3 linked regions of the Ovis aries genome follow. The protein of the gene in region 2 interacts with the protein of the main gene of each other region in a biochemical or structural test. Links are inferred from orthologs where the notes say so. Each region holds a gene or a part of one and is shown on either strand. Other genes may lie near its edges.

Region 1 (8,210 bases), on a different chromosome or scaffold from region 2:
ACAAGACTTAGGAACTAAACAACAACAAATGTGTGTTCCTATTTGTGTGTATGTAAATTTTATCTGTCTCTGAGCTCTCTGTTCTATTCTACTGGTCTCTTCATTCACGTATCAGTTCCACATGGTTTTTATTGTTATTGTTTTAGATGATGTCTTAATACCTGAAAATTTGTTGATATTATTAAACACTTGAGCAGTAAAATATCTTTTAAAAAACTAATTAACTTGATTTTTTTGATACATGAAAGCAAATCCTTGGGAACAAATGAGTCAAAAAGTGTGAACCTGTGATTTTCTGGTAAAGCCTGTGTTCCACACAAGCCCCAAAAAAACAAATGTGGATGTTTTCAGCGTCCATTTGTAAAGAGACTACTAAAGAGTGTCTTCAGTTTTTTTCACTTTTGCATTATTTTATGAAAGCTAATGAAATGATTTTACAACAAGTTACAAGGTTTGGAAAAGCCATAGTAAGGATCTAAACCACATATTCTATTCTCTACTTCTAAACCTTTGGTAAAGTATAGATTCTGTTAACATGAACTGTTTTGAGTATTATGTTATGTTACATCTAACAATCCTCTATTAAAGCACTTCTTAATTATTATCCCTTTTTTTAAACACTTCAGGTACTGGAAATCTAGATGAGGTTAGTTTCTCTTTTTTTATTCTTCTCATATTATGTTGCTATAACTAGAATATGTAACAATTGCTGTGATTTATTTTCTACTGGCATAAACCAACAAATGAAAACTCTTAAGAATAATGGTAATATTTTTCCATTGCAATCTTATTTCACCCGAAATGCTTGAGACATTAAACCCCAGTCATTTCACTGACTCAGTAATTTTGTTATGATAAACAGAAACTGAAGCCTGGCTACGAATCTGAATTACATAGCAAGATATAAAATGAAATCTTTCTGTGCTTCCTCTCCCAGTCTGTCTCCAAAAAGGAAAAAAAAAAATTAAATATGCAAAATGTACACACAAATTTATGTTTGTTTTACTGAGTATTTGAGCAGTGTAGTATATATTTGTTCCCTTATTGAATAATTGCAGTAAATCACTATTAATGTTTTTCTTGACAGGAACAAGAGAGTGAAGGAGAAACATATGAAGACATGTATGAGCAACATTTCTTTTACCATGATATTTTTCTTCTTAGATGAATATAATAATTTGTATGAGGGAGAATGAATGGATATTCAATACTAGGAGGGGGAAAGTTCAACTGTTCAAGTGACGGGCATATAATGATAACCTTTATTTCAATACAAAGGACTAAAGATTCCTTTCTTGTCTAAGGATTTTACAGAGGACTCTGTTAAAATGCCATTGTGTGAGAGGTCAGAGTCCTGCAACCCACTAGACAGCCCACAGGCAAGGAATTACAGGGCCAGGAATCTGTATTTCTTGCTCTCAGGGTGTCTGGGCAAATGAATTTGTGTATATATTACAATGTCCTCACCTAGGCAGTACTCTGAGAGACAATTTAACACAGCACCGGATGCCAAAGTTTTAACCTGCTTAAGAAGAAAAATGTTAAAAAGAGTTCCCAAATGGGTTTCTGGGCAGGCCAGGATTAAGAAATTTCTTAGCAAATGAGTGAAAATAAAAATGAGCATTTTCTCTCATTTTAACTTTTGTTGATTCAAATATGTTAATCTTCCCCACCCAGAATTCAGCTAATTCTGAGTAAAGTTTCTAAATGAAGATTTGTACCTATGAGTACAAGTGAATATGTATATGTGAACTTGTACCAGTGAGCGTACTCTTGTGAGAGAGATTGGGTGGGATGGGGGGGGGGAGGTGCTTAATTGTATTCATGCTGACAGGCTGCAGGAACCTTTAAAACAATGCCTTCCACTTGCCCTCAGGGGTTGTAAAAGTAGCAGGACCTTTGGAAGGCATCCTCCTTTGAATGCCTCCTGCAGGTTTTAGGAACAGTCTCACACACCCAGGAATTTTGACAGGACTTAGCTTTGTACCTTAACCTCTATTCCACATACTATCTTCTGTTTGGGGTAGGAACCTCTAAATAGTGAGCCCTAACACATAAATGCCTGCAGGTGCTGAAACAACCAAATTTTTATCCACAGAGACACATCCAAAGAAAAAGAGAAGAAAAGAGAAAAGGAGGAAAAGAAGAGATTAGAGCTGGAGAAAAAAGAACAGAAAGAGAGAGAAAAGAAAGAACAAGAAATAAAGAAGAAATTTAAAGTAAGAGCTTGCTTGCTGATGGGTGAAAAACAGTAACCTCTCTTTTTATAACTTTCACACAAAAGGGGCACCATTTTTTGAAACCTTATATGGTTGGACAACTACTTAATCACTGTTTTCTAAAGAGTAACTTCCTTCATAACAGTAATGTTTTTTTTCTGCTACACTCCATTATCCCTGCACTAAAAATGCAATACAATAAAATCCAAATAAAATATGTGGCTTATAATCTGGATAAAATCTAAACAAAATATGGTGGGAGCTCAAGAAATTTTATGTCAGTTGGGTGAATGAATACTCAGTTACTCAAATCCATTCTGACTCTCCTTGTTATGTGTTTCATCGTACCTGGAAAATTTCATGGACAGAGGACCCTGGTGGGCTACAGTCCGAGGGGTCACGAAGAGTCGGACAAGACTGAGCATTTCATACTAACCTACTTCCTTGGTGGCTCAGACGGTAAAGTGTCTGCCTGCAATGCGGGAGACCTGGGTTCGATCCCTGGGTCGGGAAGATCCCATGGAGAAGGAAATGGCGAGCCACTCCAGTACTCTTGCCTGGAAAATTCCATGAACTGAGGAGCCTGATAGGCTACAGTCCATGGGCTCGCAAAAAGTCGGACACGACTGAGCAACTAAGAGATTAAAGAATATGGGCTCAGGACTACACACATACATATCCCTGTGGCACGTATTATCATGGTGCATGGGACAGAACTGTCTGGATTAAGCAGACTCATGTCAATAAAACTCCGTGAGCCACCCTGACTGATGCTGTCTAGACCTGACTCACATCTATGCCTTTACTTTATGCCTATGTACATGCTGATTTCTCATACCTTCTGTTTCTCCTTCTTCCTCATTGACCTCTGTATTCTCTGATCTTTCATTCTAGCTGGATGACTCCTATCACCAGTTATCACCTCCTATCACTACTACCACCACCACCACTATACTTGCAGGCTATACTCTCTTGGCTAGGCTTTGACGACACGGCCCATCTGGTATGGGTCTGGTATGTCAGCTATATTTAGAGTGATTAGCTAGTCACAAAACTATTCTTCACTTTGAAAAGGATTCATATCAAGATTCCTTTAAATATTTAGTTCCTCCAGAGCATTAATATATGGTTTGAGTTATAAAAGCCTGGCTTATATATAATTTCCCAGTATATTGACTATAGTGAAACAAAGAAGCAACAGCAGGCACAGGGAAAATGTAAAACTTAGAGTCAGTTGGACAGATGTGGATTCAAATTCCAGCTGCATTTGTGAGTTATATAATAGTGGACATATTGCTAAACTTCTCTGAACCTCAGATTCTTATTTTTAAAGTGAGTAGACAATATTTCTCCTGAAAGTTTGTTATGGGATTAAATAAAATGATATGTGGTATCTATTATAGGCTCTCATTCAATTTTGCTTACTATATATAAGCAAAAGTAAGATTGCAATATGACTATTAAAATATTTTACTCATGCAGAATGTATGGCTACCAATGTTCATAGTTTTCAAGTAGAAAACATGGAAAATTAATTTCTTAAATGAAAATCTTTATAACATACTTTTTATGAAGAGGTTGTTTATAGTTTTGAAGGAATTAGTAAAGCTTTTCTTTTTGGGTGTAGGTTTTTTTTTTTTTTTTGGAGAAGCCAATTTTGGATGGTTTCACTCATTTATTCAAATAATATTTGTTAGTAAGAAAAAGATAAGATATGAAATCACACCACCAAACATGAACTCAAACATTTATCAAGACTAGGACTTCACACGCTATATTCCTTTCACAAAATTGTTAATAGATGTTCAAATTAAATAAATAAATGTGAGAACTGTTATACAGTTCCACATTTCATTAATTCTATGACAAAATATTTCACATTTTAAAATTCCAAAATTAGGATGCATTGTAACATTATTGGCACATCAAAGTTTAAATCAAGCTAGTTTACTTTCTTGGTAGTATATAATTAATGATGGTATCTCACAATTCATCATATCACAAGTTCAATAAATAAAGTAGAGCTTCTTCAAAAATCATGATGTATATTTGCATATCAAAAGACTCAAGAAATTCTGTTGAAAAGACAAAAGATTAGGAAATTAGGACTTTAGGATTCGTGGGCTCTAAACTAGATTACTCCTCTGCTGTCAAGAAACCACTGTACTCTTCAGGATATTAATTATTAAAACATCATATAATATTGGTTTGCTATTTATTTTTATTCACAAAGCTATTTCTAAACTGTTATCTTGTTTATAACAGGTAATGTCTACTCCAAGTTTATAGATAGCAAGTACCTTGAAGTCGAAAAAAAGGAAAGAAAATGTTTTTCTCACAAGTACAGCCTACCACCACTACTAACCCTCTCTCTCTTGCTATTTTAAGCCTGCAGAGAACCATCAGAATAATTGCACAAAGCAGAGAGGGAAATAACCTCTGTCTAGTAAGCAGAACACCAGCATACCCCATAAAAACACATAGCACCCAGCATGTCACATATATAAGTGGTGTTTGATTTTTAGTCACTTCCTCTTCAAATCTTCTACAGAGTTCCCAACGTTAACAGATCACTGCCATTCTCTCCTGGCCCCTGAACACGTGCTTACCTATTTTTGCTGGCTCTGTCTGACCTCTGCAATTTTCCCCTAGCCCCTCCTATAAGAACCCTCACCAGAAATAACATTCACCCTCAACTTCTGGTTCAAACCTATAAATGTTGGTAATAAGCAGGTTAGCAAGTAGTGGACCTAGTCTTTCAAAACTGCATTCCTTAAGGATTTCCTGAAAGTAAGAAGCTGGTTGTGATTTTTTTTTCCCCCTCTTTGCAGCTAACAGGCCCTATTCAAGTCATCCATCAAGCAAAAGCTTGCTGTGATGTCAAAGGAGGAAAGAATGAACTGAGCTTCAAGCAAGGAGAGAATATTGAAATAATTCGCATCACAGACAACCCTGAAGGAAAATGGCTGGGCAGAACAGCCAGGGGGTCATGTAAGTGCATATTTTTCTAAGACTTCAAAGTGTTTTCTTTTGAGCCAATCTTAATGTGAAAATTCTTCCAAAGCTAGTCATAAGCATTAAGTTGGAAGTATGTTACAGAGTAGACAAAAATAGGAAGATTTTAAATGACAAGCATAGCTCCATCTTCACCTCATTTGTGTAATATTTTTAGTTGGGAAAAAATGCAAATATAATATCCCAAGGAGGAGTAAAGAGTATTAGATTCTTCATGGATGTTAAAAAGCAAAAATATTTCTTCTGAATCACTTTAGAACCTTGAAAACAGACTCCAGACTTACCCCAAAAGCACAACATCATGAGACTTTGACAAAGCACAGTGAAGCATGTGTCAACAAGTCTTTAAGTCAGAATTGCAAGCAAAGAAATAAAGGGAAAATGTAAAAAGAAAGTGTATCATTGATATTTTATTTACAACTCTATGATATTTAAACTACAGTTATCTGAACATAAATTGTTCCCCTTTTGGTAGATGGCTATATTAAAACAACAGCTGTAGAGATTGACTATGACTCCTTGAAACGGAAAAAAGGCTGTCTCAGCACTCTTCCATCAAGACCTTTTGAAGATGACCAGGAAGTGTATGATGACGTTGCAGAGCAAGAAAATGTTGGCAGGTATACGTAAAAATAAATCGGAAAGCAAATCAAACTATCTGTTTGTCAGAGATTGTGAGTTTTAAGATGCTAGAATTTTACTTTCCTAATTTCCTACTACTTTCTATCACTAAATTAAATTACCGTTTACAATCACTTCAATATGGATGATAACTCCTTTGAAACTCTATAGTCTTTCAGTTTACTCTTTGGCTATTTGTGTTAAATACTGCTTGAAATGTAATGGGCCATTGGCAGATATGGTGTCCATCCAAAATACTGTTTTGCAATATTCATTCTGATTTGACTTTAAGGATATGCCTAGAATACATATGACTTTGTAAATTATGAAGCATGAGATATAAAAGTTAGCTCTAAAAATATAAAATACTTTTCTCTGAAATCTGAGTCTAAATGTATTTGTCATTGTTATTTGAAAATATAACAAACAGAAATGCTTTTTTATGACAACTTTGCTCTTTAAGAGTAAAGATCAATCCGCTATGATCCCCAGCAATCAACTAAGGGTTCAACTTTCCATTGGACCTTGTGACCTTCCCTGGAAAAACTACAGGACCATCTTTCTGGAGCAGAGGGACAGATCAAGACATCCTTTCTAGAGGAATCAAAGGGGAGGGCAAACTTCTCTCTCGTACTTTCCTTCTCTTCCTTCTCATCTCCAGCTCCCTTTATAGCGCTTCCTCTTCTGTCCCTTTCTCCTAGCTCTGATCTTCCTTGTTCTTTCTTTTTCTTCCTTTTCTGTTCTCCTTTCATTCCTTCTTTCCTCCAATATCTCCCTTTCCTGGTAGAGCCATAATCTCTTTAAACTGAAGGAAAAGGAGAAGGAAAATCTCCAACCCAGTGAAGAATCCTCATTTTTCTATGCCCACTTTGTGAAACAGGGAAACCTCCCCACATGATCCATGCAAGATCTTCATGTGAGAAAAAAATGTGTCTGCATTCTTTATAACTCAAATTTCAAATTAAAAAATGTTTTTATTATTAAGCATTCTAAAAATGTAAAAAGATCAAAATAGAAGTATATTAATATTTATTAATACTAATAGTTATGAAACATATAAAGAATTAAATTTCCCTTTTATGGTTTTGAGCTTATGGCATCAGTTAAACCTATATTGCTTTCTGGCAGTTCATCATTCTAAAATGACTGATAGCAATGCTGTCTTAACATATTGTGATCATAAATTATGCAATACATATCAAAACATCCCATGTATGCACTGGAGTTTACAGATTGTAAATTGACCTTAGCGATAAGAAACACCTTGACCTACCTTGAAGTTAGCAAATGTCAAATTTGATATCAGAGTTCCAAATGGCCATATTCTGAGAGTTACAGAATTTTCTGGGCATGAGTGTGTCTTACCATGTATATTATCAGTATATATACCTTATGTTGGGCTTCCCCGGTGGCTCAGATGGCAGTCTGCCTGAGATCCCCTGGAGAAGGAAACGGCAACCCACTCCAGTATTCTTGCCTGGAAAATCCCATGGATGGAGGAGCCCAGCATGCTATATTCCATGGGGTTGCAAAGAGTTGGACACAACTGAACTACTTCACTATACCTTATGTTTGTCTTTTATCTTAAAAAAAAAACACACACACACACACAATTTCTCTTATTTTGGAATTAAAGAACTCCACTTCACTTTCACTTTTCACTTACATGCATTGGAGAAGGAAATGACAACGCACTCCAGTGTTCTTGCCTGGAGAATCCAAGGGATGGGGGAGCCTGGTGGGCTGCCATCTGTGGGGTCGCACAGAGTCAGACACGACTGAAGCAACTTAGCAGCAGCAGCAGCAGTGAGATATATATATATATATATTTTTTTTACACTGATGAAAATAAAAAATAAATAAATCCACAAAAAAGGGATGATATCCTTAAAATGAAGCATTATTTTCATAATAAGTGACTTTCCCAAATTAATGCCATTACCTTTTTCATTTTAACTAATCTGTACATACCACAGGGCTTCCCAGATGGTACAGCAGTAAAGAATCCACCTGCCAATGCAGGAGATCCAGGTTTGATCCCTGGGTCTGAAAAATCCCCTGGAGAAGGAAATGGCAACCCACTCCAGTATTCTTGCCTGGGGCATCCCATGGACAGAAGAGCCTGGCATGTTACATTCAGTCCAGGGGCTTCAAAGAGTAGGACACAGCTTAGTGACTAAACCACCACCACCATACATTCCACAACTCTACGAGACATCTCCAGTTAGTAAACATGTAGCAGAAAAGGGATCTTCTGTTTAATAAAATGGGGTTAGAGGAAGTGTATAGCTTCACTGATTAATATTTTAAACAAGTACATCACCACAGTATTTACTAACATCTATTACATTGGAA
Region 2 (8,210 bases):
TTTTAAGAAATCGAGTAAACTTCCTGTGAAGAAAACATAAAGTCATTTTGATTTCCTTTGAAAGGTCAAAATTCCCAATGAAGGGCTGTATTTGGTTTTCTTATTAGAAGGAATGAGGTAATCAGAGGAAATGAGGCTATCAGTGAAAACAAGGTTCACACATGAAAACTGGGCAGAAAAAAACCTGTGCACTGGAGGCTGCAGTTTTACCTTTTAAAAGTAAACAGTAGTGACTCCAGTTCTAAGGACAACAAAAATGGGATGAAGCTAGAAGAAACAGGACTTCATAAGAAGCAGCCTTAAATGAGATTAAAGGCTGCACCACTTCAGTCTCACTCCCGACAGTCCCGCTCAAGAGTGATGTGGAGAAAACAGCTCCCAGATGAGTGGTTCCCAATATGTGGTCCCGGACCAGCAAGAACGGCAACCTCTGGGGAATCAGTTGGAAACACAAACTCTCAGAACCCATCCCACATCTACAGAATCAGATGCTTGGGAGTTTTGGCCCAGAAACTTTTATTTTGAGAAGCCCATTAGATCAGTGGTTCCCAGTCTTTTTGGTACCAGGGACAAGCTTCTTTAAAGACAATTTTTCCACGGACTTGGGGGTGGCAGATGCTTTAGGGATGATTCAAGCACATTCCATTTATTGTGTATTTTATTTCTATTATTATTACATCAGTTCCACCTCAGATCATCAGACATTAGCTCTCAAAGGTTGGGGACCCCTGTATTAGGTGATTCCGACATATAGCAAAGTGTACAATCAGTGGCTCAGCTTATTGACAGATTTTTAAATCAAGAAAAGGGTATCTGAGGAATACAGGGTTGGGGTAGGTGGCTCCTCACATTAGATCATGGCCAATCAGGCCTTGAAAGATACCTGAAACCAAAGGCTGGAGCTTCAGAGCCAGTGTGATGACTCCGCCTGAGGAGCTCAGAATGAACACTGGGGCCGAAGCAATCAAGGGCAGAGGCTGGAGGTTCATGTGATCACTGGTATTTTTTTTTCATGCTTTAATCACAAAGTTATTTACCAAATAAACAAATACAAAGGACAAACAATCTGCCAGGGAATAATTCCAAATATATTTTAATAGAAAGTACGTGGAAAGGGAAAAATTGTACTGGTGTCATCTGATGTACAATGCTTTGCCTTTTAAGGCTGTTTCTTGTTTGGTTCATCTATTTTTCCAAAACAAAGTGATCTGTGGTCTTATCCCCAACAATATTGCTTTGATTAGAAAGACAAAGAGAGAGAGAAAAAGAATGAGAATATAATGTGCTCTTTAAAAGTATGTCTTTCTACATCAGATGTTTAAGAAGAGAGCCGAAGAAAAAAAAAAGGTGTTGAAAAGATGGAGGCTAAACTTAACCCAGAGCTCAGTGTCTGATGTTAATTGTTCAGCCTTGCAAAAATATCTAATTTAAAAAAAATTTGTAAGAAAGTAATTTATTATTAAGATGGTTAAGCTGTGTATGCCACAAAACCTTTCATAACACAATTTCTTACTTTTATGCTTTTGTACACAAAAAGGCATTTTCAAACAAAATTTTACTGCAAAACAAGTTTTGAACCGATGTGATTAAAAAAACCTCACCCTTGATGAGGGTTTCCAACACGGTCAAGGTTGTGGTATCTTGAGTGGGGGACTCAAGACAGACAAAGGTGGTGGGAATGAGGCAGGAGAGATGAATACCTGAAAACTGTATAGCCTCATATCTTTGTTTGAAAAAAAAATTAATTTTTAACATAAGCTGTGCCATTCCAGATAACAGCAAACTTTTATAGCCCTCTGTATCAATGGCAACCCACTCCAGTATTCTTGCCTGGAAAAGCCCATGGGGTTGCAAAGAGTCAGACACGACGACACATGTATGCACTGATCACTCCGATACTAAAAATGAATTACTTCAGTTATGGAGAGGAGCTGGAAATCCTGACATGTGCAAAGCATGCAAAGGAATCTGGGTGTCAAACTCAAGGTCACTGTCTGTTCGTACAACGTTTTCCCCAGTGAGTACATAGTTTGTGCTTCCTGACAAAGAATGCTTGACTCATGGAGGAAGGAGGGAAAAAGCAGGCAGGGAGCTCCATTCCCCTCCCGGAGACAAGCTTGCAGGTCCCTGCGAGGGGGAGCCCGAGAGGCCCAGTCCAACCTTTATTCATGTACTCGGTGACGATGTAGATGGGCTCTTCGGACACCACGGCGTATAGCTGGACCAGTTTGTCATGCTTCAACTTCTTCATGATCTGCGCCTCCTCAAGGAATGATTCAGGGGACATTGTGCCTGGTTTAAGAGTCTTTATGGCTACTTTTGTGTTTCCATTCCAGGTACCTGCAGACACCCCATAATAGTAAGTCAAACCAAAGATCCTCTTTGGATGGGAAAAAAACCTTTTTAATGAGTAGTTATTTGTATAAAGTTAGATTTTAAGTTTAAAGAAAACTTTAAATAGAGTTGTTGTTGTTGAACAAAGACAATCAAATGCAAGGACTCTGTCAAGTATTTTCAACAGGAAAAAATGTGTTTACTTATAGGCTATGTCATGGTTTACAAGTCTTTAAAAATTTTTCGTATTTTGATATATATCACTTTCCTTTTCTGGTTCAGCCACGTGATCACAAATTTGTATCAAAAGCTCTGGATACTTCATTTTTTTCCTTCTAGTAGTTTTTGAGATATGATTGATATATGCCACTGTATCAGTTTAAGTTGTAAAGCATAATGATTTAATTTACATACATCATGGAGTGACTATTACAGTTAAGTTTAGTGAAATCCATCATCTCAGATAGATACAAACTTAAATACAAATAAATTTTTTTCTTGTGATGAGAATTCTTGGGATTTATCCCCTAAACAATCTTCATAGATAATATACAGGATGTTAATTATATTTACTTAGCATGTAGTACATTAGATCACTGGTACTTTCTGGATACTTCTTTATAAGGATGAACGTCTAGGGGTTAGAACAGGACTGGCCTTCAGCGGCCATCCAATAGCCGTCCCTTAGACAGGAGGATGAGCATGGAAGAAAGGACATTAAGTCCTATTTTCTGGGGTGTGCCATTTAAAAATATATGACACCACACTAAGGAAGTTTGGAAATTACCTCTAGACTTTCAGTTGTCAGCCAGGGATGAGCTACTTGACTGAGTCCTTGAGAAGCTGAGCTAAACGTGCTGAGAAGTACTGGCAAGAAGCTTTTGGTCTACTTGCCAATACTTCAATCACGAAAAGAAAATTCCTCAAGCTTACTGATGGTCAGCCACAGGAACAATGATTTCTATTAGACTGGAAAAATTAAACAGCAGCTAAGAGGGAAAAGAAATATTTAAAACTTCACATGTGTAAAATAATCTAGGAGTTTCAGAGGCGAGCCTGGTTTATGATCCTCATCATTTACCTCATCTGTAAAATATAGAAATGGAACTGGATTATCTTCCCAGTCTCTTTTAGCACCAAAATTTAAAAAAACCCACTCAATCCTATGTGTATCCATTATTAGTCCTATGACTTTGAATTAAAACTATAAGGTAAACTGAAAAATCTACTAAGTTAGATTATATCATTTTCTATTTGGAAAAGAAGGCTGGTTTAAATTAACTTTACACTTAATATAATTAATCCTAGAACTAAAAGATTCTATAAATTGGAACAAGTCTTGTCACCCTGTTAAAAACATGGTTCATATACTCACAACATGCAACCCATAAAAATGTAAATTATCAAAGGATAAGTGCCTTAAAAAAGAGTTCATTGAAATCTTATAGAAAACTGACCACTAAACATAAATGGGAAATCTGACAACTAGCAAGTGGTCTGTGTGAGTGTTTTAGCATCCCTGAAATTTTAACAGTGAGATCATCCTGTCTAATATCACCTGGTTACCTAGATAACCTTCCATCCTGATCCTGAACTACGTCAACATGATGTTTCACATCCAGGGGAAAACATAACAGCATGTGTGATGATTTAAAACTGGTAACTATAATGTTTGAAAATAAATTTTTGTACAGAGTTTAATTTTTCCTGATTTCGTGAATGACTGTATTGAAATCCTTAGGACTCACAAATCTAATTATAAATTGGGTGGATAAGGGAGTGTAAGGCCATATAAATACAACACGAGAGTTAGAGTCCAGATAGAGACAGACACGATAAGTCGACTCGGAAAGCGATTCTATTAATAATGATAATACTTACTATAATGGCATATACATACTCATCCACGTGTATATCTGAGGGAGGGTGTCTCTCTCTCCCTCTCCCTATATGTAGTACTTACTAGTTGTCAAGTCCCATTCTAAGTGCTTTAACTGCATTGAACCTTTTAATGCAGATCACACCTAAGTACCTACACCCACACAAATCACATAGGTACCAACCTATGCTTTTGCTTTTAAGTAATGTTGCTTTCAATTGCATCTAGGAAAGTAAGAAGCGGGATTCCATAAGCAGCAGCATGGCCTTATTGACAGATGTTTCTGGGTGTTTTAAAGCAGTAGGGAAGGCCAGAGAAGTTGGCCTGGCCAAAGAGAACCAAATTAAGAGACAAGAACTCGTGTCTACTGAGTACCTGCTGTTTGCCGTGGAGATATACTATGCCATATCACCCTCAAGGTAATCCTATGAAGTAGGTATTATTTCAGTTTTACAGATGAGGTAACTGAGGTTCAAAGAGATGAAACAAGCCCCATGCCCATGGTTAATCAGCTGGAAAAGATTCAAATCCAGGCTACTGAGGAAAAAAGCCCATGGTCTTTTCCTACATTAGCCCATCTGTAGAATCTTACCTTCCCACGTCTTAGGAAGAGGAAACATCATTCTTACTGTACTGGTTTTCTGTTCTGTGTGCCTTAATTAACCACATGAAGCAGGATGGAAGGGAATAACCTGAATGGCCTGTAGCCATCTAGCCATCCAGGTCAAGCATCTTGGTCCCACCAGCTGTGTGTGTGTGTTTGCTTAAAATCGCCTTTTAGCTGGCTTTGAGATGCAGCCAAAACGAAATGTGCCCTCTGCCTTACCAAGCCACACTTCAGCGAAACACCCCTGACCCAGCTTCTTCTCCAGATTCAGGGAATCACGTGCAACTTCCCAAGCATCTTTAGACAATCCAGAAGTTTGTGGGGTACAACTCGATGCAATCACAGTTAAGTTAAAACACAAACCATCAGCTTTCTCTACAGGAAAGGGAATTAATAAAGAAAACACAGTCCTTATAATCCATAATCATGCATGCACTAGAAAAGATGGGAGGTGACGGGCCCTTTAGGGCGACACTGTTCATTCTGCCAGCATTTGCAGTTGGAAATGAAGGCATTTGGTGCAAGCTAGAATATTCCTTGTACCATTTCCTGGTGTATGAATTGAGGCTCATATAGTAGTATCATTTGAGCCATCTGCCAATCTTAACCAGAATTCTGAAATCAAAATCCAAATTATTCGTAATTCATACTCTCTTCCTGGCCAAAAAGTCTTTATTTTCACCTTCCATCTTTGATGTTTGGGACTTCCCCAAACGAGAAAGCTAGTAATAGAGTAATTGAGGCTTGGCATACCCATCCATACTTCCCCAAACTGCCCATTTCCCAGTCTCTTGATCAACTGCAGGGATTCTCGAGGGATTTCCCAGACATCTTTGGTTTTGACAGACAGATCGGTAAGCCGTGGCATCCCTTTGTGACAGGGAACTACTAGGCGGCAACAGAGGCCTGCGGCTCTCTCTGATGGAGCGAGGACAGCGGCGGGAGAGGAAGAGAAAAGCAAACACGTGAAACAACACTTACAGGGGCACAAACCCAGCCAGCGCACAGTGTTACTCAGAACAGTGCTGTGTCAGCAGAGAACTACACACGTGTTGGAAGATTAGACACCACACACTGAAATGTGCTCGCTGGAGGCAGAACAGAAGACGTTTTGGATTTCGATGACTGCGTACACCCAGGTCTAGTATAGTCTATACACAGATACAGGTTCAGGCTGCTTTGGTGTCTGCGCTTACGAAATAAGAAAAATGTTTTCAGCCCAGCGTGCTAATAACATGTCTTCTGAAACTCTGCAGATAACCTCGACTGATTTCAAAAGGTACATTTGAACCACAGAACGTCAGCACAACTGTCTTTTGCTGCTGTCTCATATCAAGGGCGTGGGGACTCTCTTTGCTATGAATATACTTAAAATTGTAGCTTCGGTACAGGGTTCTCATACAGAATGTCAGACTATTATAAACTAGTAAGGCTGGAGATTACACCTGGCGAGGGAAAAAAGAGGTCCTATTTCTCTAGTGATTTCTCTGACAATTTGAACTGACTCTATTCTGCCAGTCAGCTACTCTTGCTTCTTTGAAATCTTCCATTAAAAAAAAAATCTTTATAACAGTCTCCGATGTATAATTTAGGAGTCTGGCTTGAAAGGAGAAAGAATGGGAACTAAAATTTGCAGAAACTCAAGGATGTGAGAGAACTCTATTTCCTATGAAAAAGAGGAAGGAAAAAAGTCATTATCACTTATAGGTTATTTGGAGGATTTTCCCCTTTTCTTCTCTCTCTCTTTAAAGTCTTTTAGACTGCAGCAGTGCTAAGGGGAAACTGTCTAAATGCCAAGCTAAACATTGGTCAGGTGAGAACGCTGACAATGGACAGGGACTCAGGCAGTGACGAAAGCTGCAGAGAGCCTGGCCTGAGCTGGCCACGCCCCAACGGAGGCCCCTCTGCTCCAGGGACACAGAATGCAGTGCTGCCGCCTTTGCTCCGGGAACCAGCTGCAAGTTCCTTTTTATTCCTTTCTTTTTGACAGAATCAGGTTCTCAGACATTTAGGCAGGAAATTATTTATGTGTCAATATTTCAAAGGCATTTGATTGTGTGAGGGAGAGAAAGAGGCAAGGGGAGAAGCCAATATAAAAACAAATCTGTCTCGAGATGGATTTTTTTTTTTTTGAGATTAAAAAGTGTCTATTGCTCCTCACATCCCTTCTCTCCTTCCAGCTTTATGATGTTATTAAGGTGCCCTTTCCAACACAATATTTTCAAACGATCCAAGCCCTGGGGATCCAGCTGACGTCTGGCTGTAATGAAATATATTTAGGCATTTGAGAGATCCTTACCACATGCGGGTATTTTGAGCACGTCCTTTAATCTCAGGGAGATATTTTGCTTCATTTCTCCTAAGTATTTCATTAGAATCCACACCAATGAAAGTGACCCCCTCCCCTAATCAACAAGCTTGGCAAGTGTTGTTAATGTTTTTTCATTTGCTTTTTAGTGCCCAGGATCAATAGACAGATATTTCTTAGTGCCATTTTCAAGAAACTGCCTTTTTTGGTGCTAAACAATTATACACACATATTTTTAAATGAATGAGCATAGGGCAATAGTGGAAGTCAAGCCATGTAGTATTTTGGAGTCTTGTCATTATCCTAAAGAATAACAAAAAATGTACATATGGGTCACATAAAAACTATTGGGTTATAGACCTCTATCTGGACATGCATATGTCTATCCACTGGTGTGTATATATTGATATAGTGGGGCTGACTTGCTAATCTAGGAAAGAAAGCAATCATTTTAACAACTGCATGTACAATCACCCTCTTTAATAAAATGTACAAATCACACACCTAAACACCTAATAATTATATGTTTCTAGGAACAACAGACTGATGGTGATGTCTGGGTGTTAGGACAGAGATTGATCTACTACTTAAAAGTTTAATTTAATACAATAGCTGTAACATCTCTAGGAGCTGTGGGTCATATACATCTAAGTCTAGTTAGTGAACGGAAGCATTGGTGGGCAAGTAGAAATGAGAAATGGATGGCGAAAGTCATCTAGTGTATGCGTGCGCAGCCCTTCCTGCTGAGAGGGAAGTGATGGTAGGAACACCCCCCACCCCTCTAGAAGGCCCCATGGATGGAGTTCCCCCAGAGACAGCACCTTCTTCCTTTCACAGCTTCCAAACTATATATACTGCAGGGGAGCAGGAAGCGATAACTTCCAAGGATTTAAAGACGAAGACGAAAAAACAAACAGCTTTTAGAATTTAACCTATTGCTTTCTAGTTGGGGAACGAGAATGGTCTGTATTTTGACAAACATATGGAACTAACAATAACTGCGAAGGTAAAAATAGTGAGAACCTATTCGGCCAAGCCTCATCTTGAGAGCCTAGCAAGGAAGACTATTTTCCTAGTGCCTT
Region 3 (6,951 bases), on a different chromosome or scaffold from region 2:
TGGTCCATGAACCTGTTAGGAACCAGGCTTCACAGCAAGAGTTGAGCTGGTGAAGTTTCATCTGCTGTTCCCCATCGCTCGTATTATCGCCTGAACCATCATCCCCCAGTCCCAGTGCCAGTCCATGGAAAAACTGTCTTCCATGAAACCAGTCCCTGGTGCCAAACCATGTAGAGAGCTGACTCGACATGGAGTTCTTAAGTCAAGAAGAAGGCTCCTGTCCAGGCTTCCTTCCTGCAAATGGCTCCGCTTGCAGTTCTGTGACTTGTGTTGACTGCCTTCAGCTGCCATCTTCCATTCTCAGCTGAATTCATTAAAATAAAATTACCAGGGCCAGAGGCACAGAGTATTACCAGGCTCAGAGCTGCATACTGGAGTCAGCTGGGAAAATTTTTTTAACACTGAGCCTCTGGTTTCCACTCTGAGGTTCTGATTTACTTGGCCTGGGAGGCAGAGGGGGTATTTCCCTCCCAGTGGTTAAGATTCTGCCTTCCGGTGCAGGGGGTGCGGGCTCGATCCTTGGTCTGCAAACTAAGATTCCCACATGATGCAGGGTATGGCCAAAACTTTAAAAACTTATGAGGAGACTCTAGTGAGTGAAAAGTTGCTCAGTCGTGTCTGACTTTTTGCTGCATCAATTCAGTTCAGTTCAGTCATTCAGTTGTGTCCGACTTTTTGTGACCCCATGGACTGCAGCACGCCAGGCCTCCCTGTCCATTACCAACTCCCGGAGTCTACTCAAACTCATGTCTGTTGAGTTCATGATCTGAGCCACAGTCAGCTCCTGGTCTTTTTTTGCTGACTGTATAGAGCTTCTCTATCTTTGGCTGCAAAGAATATAATCAACCTGATTTCCGTATTGACCATCTGGTGATGTCCATGTGTAGAGTCTTCTCTTATGTTGTTGGAAGAGGTTAGGGTTAGGGTTATAGTCCATGGAATTCTCCAGGCCAGAGTACTGGAGTGCGTAGCCTTTCCCTTCTCCAGGGGATCTTCCCAACCCAGGGATCGAACCTGGGTCTCTCACATTACACTCAGTTGAGTGCACCATGGAAGCCACCAGGAAGACACCAGGGAATTGAACTGGGGTCTCCTGCATTGCAGGCAGATTCTTTACCAGCTGAGCTACCAGGAAAACCCAGGGAGACTCTAAGGTATGGCCAACTAAAGTTTGCAAACTACACTGCTTCAAATTTTCAGTTGAGTTTTGTCACAGGAATCCGAAGCTGGAAGACAATCACAGGTGAAAAACCAATGTTTGTATTATGAGGTTAACTTTAAAAAAGAAAACACATAACACAAGTCCAGAGACTACTAACAAGAGCTACCAGAGATGTTTACTTCAAAAACACTTGGAAACTTTCAATCAGCGCTGCTCGTCCTGCTTCAGTCAGAATGCCCAGGAAAAGGCTAATGGTTTCTATTGCTTCAGTGTCAGCAACGTGCTGTTTCTGCTGGGTGAAAAGCTGTCAACCGTCCCCAGGGGCTCAGCATTCCCAGGGCCAGTGAGACCCCAGCAGCCTTCCTTCTGGGTGGAACAGATCTGAAAGGGCTCCTATCTATTCTTTAACCTGAGTGACAAATACCTTTAATTGCTGATCAGGAAATAGCGGGCTTTCCTGATGGCTCCTGAAATGCAGGAGACACAGGCGATTCAGGTTCGATTGGTGGGTCAGGAAGAGCCCCTGGAGGAGGAAATGGCAACCCACTTCTGTATTCTTGCCTGGGAAATTCCATGGACAGAGGAGCCTGGCAGGCTTCAACTTAAAGACAGAGTCAGGCACAACTGAGCGACTAAGCATAGGAAATGTTGACATGCAACCAAATTTAGCAATCTGTTTGGATGAACAAAGTCCAGTCAGACTGTCAGGCCCAGTTCAATCACTTCCTTGTAGAATCAGTTTTCAGATGGGAACCAGTCATACAAAGCTGGGATAGGTTAGCAGTTTTGGCTGTACACAGGAGGGCTGAACCACATTAGGTGAAGTAGGGTCTTGTTATCTGGAGATGAAGGATGGCTTCAGACATTTGTGTGTGGTTGCCAAGTTCACATAAGATAGGAGTCCTGCTATTCAAATATTAATCTAGGTATTACTGTGAAGCTATTCTGCAGATGTAATTCAAACCACTGTTGACGCTGAACAAGGAATTTTCTTGGATGATCTGGGTGGGCCTGAATCAGGTGAAAGTTCTTAAAGCAGGGATTACACTAGAGAGGAGTTTCACCTGAACACGTGTTTTCCCGATCACACTCCCTTCTGATTGGCCAGACTATGGACTCTCTCAGTATGCCCCTCAATCATAGGAGCCAATTCCTTGCAATCAATCTCAATATTGAGGCTACAGTCCAGGGGTCACAGAGTCAGACACGACTGAGTGACTAACACTGTCTTCTAGTCCTGCTTCTTGGGTTAGAGAGATGGGCAATGAACAAGAATGTCCACAAGGGGGCCTCTCTGGGTTCAGTTCAGTCACTTGGTCGTTCAACTCTGCCACCCCATGGACTGCAGCATGCCAGGCCTCCCTGTCCATCACCAACTCCCAGTTTACTCCGATGATCCCCTTCTCCTCCAGCCTTCAATTTTCCCCAGCATCAGGGTCTTCAATGAGTCAGTTCTTTGTATCAGGTGGCCAAAGTATTGGAGTTTCAGCTTCAGGATCAGTCCTTCCAATGAATATTCAGGACTGATTTCCTTTAGGATGGACTGGTTGGCTCTCCTTGCAACGCAAGAGGCTCTCAGCGGGTTTTAAAACACAATTCAAGGGATTTGTATCAAGTCAGGGGAAGTAAATAAAACATTAGTAGAACACCAGAAATCAAGGGGCAGAGGACAGAGAAGCCACAGTATTTTCACCTCTTACTGGTGCTCATCCATTACTCCAGACAGTACTCAAGGCAGTGGGTATCAGCAACATGAAGCCTCTGAACACTTGAGATCAGGCAGATGAAAATAAGGAATGAATCAAATCTTAACTTATTTAGCTGCCCTTGAGGTACCCTGTGAGAGCTCTGCATTTTTCTCTCCCGAACAAGTTTGGTCCTGAAGTGGGGCCCTGCCTCCTGGCACCGACCCAGCTTCTGCTGTAGGGCATGGGTTGACCCCTCTCTCACCTTTTCCCCAACATGCTCTCCCCAAAGTCTTATACAATGTCCTCCACAAACTCCTGTTCCTTCTATCAGACACAAAGCCTCTGGTTCTTGTAGAGGTGCTTCCTGAATACCCAAGATGTGAGAACAGACTCAGACACTACTTCATATACACAGGGCATATATATACGGGTCACTCAGGTGTTTTTATTTTGCACACGAACCCACTGGACACCTCAGAGATGACAACCTAGATACACGTGGCTCTGGATACTTGGTGGAAGCGAGGTGAGAAGAACAATGATTTGGGCCAAGTATGTGATTACAGAGCTAGGGTTTCCAGCAGGGCTCCAGATGGTCAGGCGTGGCTCTGCAGTAGGTCTAAGGAAGCAGTGGGGACGTCACAGGACGAGGAGAGAGCAGCTAACTACCAGAGGCCCCTGTGGGCATCAGTGGGGGCCTCACACTGCCCGGCGACATCAGACGCAGGTCTAAGGAGCCAACGAGTGACTGCAGGGGCTCGCCCGCCTACAGCTTACTTGGCCAGCGGGTTTCTGAAGCTCCTGCCGGCAAACTTGGCCTTGCTGCCCAGTTCCTCTTCAATTCTTAGGAAACAGAAAGAGAGATAGGGAGACAAAGAAAGACATCAAACGTCAATGCAGCAAATCTTCCCACCCAGAGAGGTGGTCAAGGACACACTTCTTGCTAGGAACTTGGGGACTCAACCCTCGCTCAGTCTGCCCGACTAATCCCTAAACTTGAGCTTCTTGGAGATGCCAGGAATAGAACATCTGGGCTCGCCTCATGCACCTGTTCTTCCTGCCCTGCCTTCCTAATATAAAGAAATGGTAGGACTGTGACTTCTTAGAATACTTAAAAAAGAGAAAAAAAAATTTTTTTTAAAGAAAGGATAACCCAGTTTCTTGAACTAATAAGTGGTACAGGGCAAAAAGGCAGGGGCACTCATCAGTGTGAACTTTGTTTGGATCCTGATGTCAAAAGCAACAGCCACTTTGCGACGAGAGAGGAGACAGACTAGCAGACAGACCTGATGTTGACACTGAGAGGTCAGCACTAACCGTGGGAACCGCCAGAGTAGAGCGGCCACGCTAAACCAAAGGGAGACTTTACCTGAAATGTGCCAAGTGAAACCATAAAACGCCTGGGGTTGCTTTAAGATTCGTCAGAAAAGGGTATGTCGACAAAACACGGAGGAATACGGACAGCGGGTGCATGCCTGTGATGGGGAGGGAGTACAGTCTACTCTTCACTTATATTTTATATGTTTGGCATTTTCCAGGATAAAGTTTTAAAGATGGGGTAATGTGGGAGGCCTTATGAAACAGATGTTCCTTTTCCCTTCAAGAATGAAAGAAAAGAACAGAAGGGCAGGTCTCCCTGTGTTTAGAGGCAAAGCTTCCCAAGGACAAGAAGGGGAGAGACGAGAGTGTCCGAAGGAGCTGAACACTGGAAACCCCGCTGTTCGCCCTTTGGCAATTTTTCTTTCTCTCTCTGAGCTCTGTTATCCTGTTCACAAAACAAGGCTGTGAAGTGAGAGAATCACTAAGGCCTCCTTGTAGCCCCCTCAAATTCTAGGATGTGACTGTCCAGAGGGGAGTGGTTCCCTCTCCCGCCAGGAGCCACCCGGCAGTGTGGTGCGGAGCAGGCCCGCTCCAGGGCAGGGCTGTCGGGTGCCTGACTGGCCCCAACCTAACACCGCTGGGGCCAGGGCGCCTGCCCCACCTCGTACCGCCGAGCACAGCCTGGGGCTCCTTCTGGGGACCAAGCCCATACTCAGCGCGGGCAGCCTCTTACCTGAGGATCTGGTTGTACTTGGCCAAGCGCTCAGATCGGCACGGGGCACCAGTCTTGATCTGGAAGGAGAAAACAAAGGCCACAGCTGCTTACAGTGGACAATGAAGCCTCTCGGACACTTTGGGCAAGGGGAGGGTGCCAGGCAGAGAGATAGCAAGGCCTTAAGGAGGCTCTCTGACCTAGAAAGGGGGGACTCCATTCTCTCCACCCCACCCCAGATCTGTGTTCCGGAGAGAAGCAAGGCCTGTCCTTCGTGTCAGGGAGCTCCTTACCTGCCCCGTGCACAGCCCCACGACCAGGTCAGCAATGAAGGTGTCCTCAGTCTCCCCGGAGCGATGTGACACCATGACGCCCCACCCGTTGGACTGGGCCAGCTTGCACCTAGGAGCCAGAGAAACCAGGCTGGCACGGCTCCGCGGCTCAGGGACCGCAGCCCCTCCCAAGCCCTCAACTGCTGGGGCCAGGATAACCTTCCACCTCCCCCAAAGGCCCAAGGATGTTCTCTGCCCTGTAGTCACGTTTGGAAACCTAGTGGGCTTAGCCCCCCCTCGAGAGAGAGGTGTGTGTGTGCGCCCTGACTTTCTCCGTGTGAGATGAAATTGTGAGCGCACGGCCATCCAGCGGTCAGGACCAGGCCACAACTGCCGAGTGTCCTTGTCCCCTGGGGGCCATCGCTAACTTTAAACGCCACCTGGAGTTCCAATCAGGAGCCCCCTCCCCACCATCAGATTCAGGCCCCTCTCTTCACAAGAGCTGCCCCCGGAGGGAGGGCACTCACGCCTGCAGGGACTCGGTCACGGAGCCGATCTGGTTCACTTTGAGCAGGAGGCAGTTGCAGGATTTCTCGCTCACGGCCTTGGCGATCCGCTTGGGGTTGGTCACCGTGAGGTCGTCCCCCACCACCTGGATCCCCGCGCTGGCAGTGAACTTCTGCCAAGCTTCCCAGTCATCCTGGTCGAAGGGGTCCTCGATAGACACCACTGAGGAGAGGAGAGTGTGTTTCATCAGGGTGGCCTCCCAGGCTGCTGACTGGCAACACCGCTGGAGCCCCCCTTCCCCCGAACTGAGGCTCACCTGGCCTCACCCTTCTCACCTGCAGACAGCCCGTCCCTAAAGCAAGTTCTGGAAGGAGTCTGCCCTACCCAGCCCTCCTGTGACAGGCAGCACGGTAACTGCAATCCTGCAACCCCATGGTCGTGGAGGCAGAAAACCCACTGCCCAGCGGGTTCTCAGTTTAGTGCCACTGAGTAAGAACAGGGCTGTGGACCCAGAGGGGCGATACTGGGGTGTGCGTTCCAGTCCCATTTCCACCAAGGTGCTCAGTGTTAAACACAGGCACTCAGAGGAACTGCCTGGTGTGAACACCTGTGCCGCTGTTGGCTGAGCGCCCCTGAGAAGTTCTAACCCACTCGCTGCCTCAGGGTCCCCTCTCCCACGTGCAGGAGTGCCCAGCAGTCTTGGCCTCACATCTGCTCATTCAGGAGGCTGTTGTGGGAGTGACACAGGCATGCACACCACGCAGGGGCGCTACCCGCCGCTCACACCCGCAGCCACCCTGGGAACACTCACCTGGGTAGTCCCTGATGAAGGACTTGTACAGGTCGGCCAGCTCGTCAGGTGTGATGTACCTGTTGGGGTCATCGGGCGACTTGAAGTCCAGGTCATACTTGCCCGACCTGTAGAACTCAGAGGCAGCTACGTCCATGCCAATGACGACCTTGTCGCTGTAGCCAGCCTTGCCGATGGCATTCTTCAGCAGCTCCAGGGCTGGAAAGAGATGGTGGTGACGGCTTTGGAGACCAGGCCAGCTCTGCCCAGTGGGAACCGTAACACAGGGAGGATAAGGTGCTCTGGCCCCAACCACCAGTCTCAAGATTCCAGGAACTTTTTTATGTTCTGGGGCAAGAAACCTTTGCTTAAGGCCACGAGTGCTTGGCCAAGTTGGAAATTGACTCTCAGAGGCTTTTTCACTGACAAATGCTCCCAAATTTAGCACCAAAGAACAGCTGTGCTGGCCAAGATACAGTTACAGTGACCAGCTGAGATCA

Evidence for each region. The genes of interacting proteins can lie anywhere in the genome.
Region 1: the proteins of FYN (region 2) and FYB1 form a complex in vitro, tested with the Homo sapiens proteins (2 studies listed by BioGRID and IntAct). The link is inferred for Ovis aries from reciprocal best matches to the Homo sapiens genes FYN and FYB1.
Region 3: of the proteins of FYN (region 2) and ENO1, one has a biochemical effect on the other in vitro, tested with the Homo sapiens proteins (2 studies listed by BioGRID). The link is inferred for Ovis aries from reciprocal best matches to the Homo sapiens genes FYN and ENO1.

Annotation. Positions count from the first base shown.
Region 1 is NC_056069.1:35,476,018-35,484,227, forward strand, and holds part of FYB1 (FYN-binding protein 1), read left to right. Parts: intron 1-626; coding exon 627-646; intron 647-1,087; coding exon 1,088-1,122; intron 1,123-2,098; coding exon 2,099-2,219; intron 2,220-5,050; coding exon 5,051-5,210; intron 5,211-5,709; coding exon 5,710-5,854; intron 5,855-8,210. UniProt on the Homo sapiens protein: Acts as an adapter protein of the FYN and LCP2 signaling cascades in T-cells. May play a role in linking T-cell signaling to remodeling of the actin cytoskeleton. Modulates the expression of IL2. Involved in platelet activation.
Region 2 is NC_056061.1:26,056,797-26,065,006, reverse strand, and holds part of FYN (tyrosine-protein kinase Fyn), read right to left. Parts: intron 5,739-8,210; coding exon 5,574-5,738; intron 5,196-5,573; coding exon of another isoform or gene 5,040-5,195; intron 2,341-5,039; coding exon 2,161-2,340; intron 24-2,160; coding exon 1-23. UniProt on the Homo sapiens protein: Non-receptor tyrosine-protein kinase that plays a role in many biological processes including regulation of cell growth and survival, cell adhesion, integrin-mediated signaling, cytoskeletal remodeling, cell motility, immune response and axon guidance.
Region 3 is NC_056065.1:43,932,705-43,939,655, reverse strand, and holds the end of ENO1 (alpha-enolase), read right to left. Parts: intron 6,671-6,951; coding exon 6,473-6,670; intron 5,884-6,472; coding exon 5,682-5,883; intron 5,285-5,681; coding exon 5,176-5,284; intron 4,963-5,175; coding exon 4,904-4,962; intron 3,694-4,903; coding exon 3,624-3,693; 3' UTR 3,276-3,623; downstream 1-3,275. UniProt on the Homo sapiens protein: Glycolytic enzyme the catalyzes the conversion of 2-phosphoglycerate to phosphoenolpyruvate. In addition to glycolysis, involved in various processes such as growth control, hypoxia tolerance and allergic responses.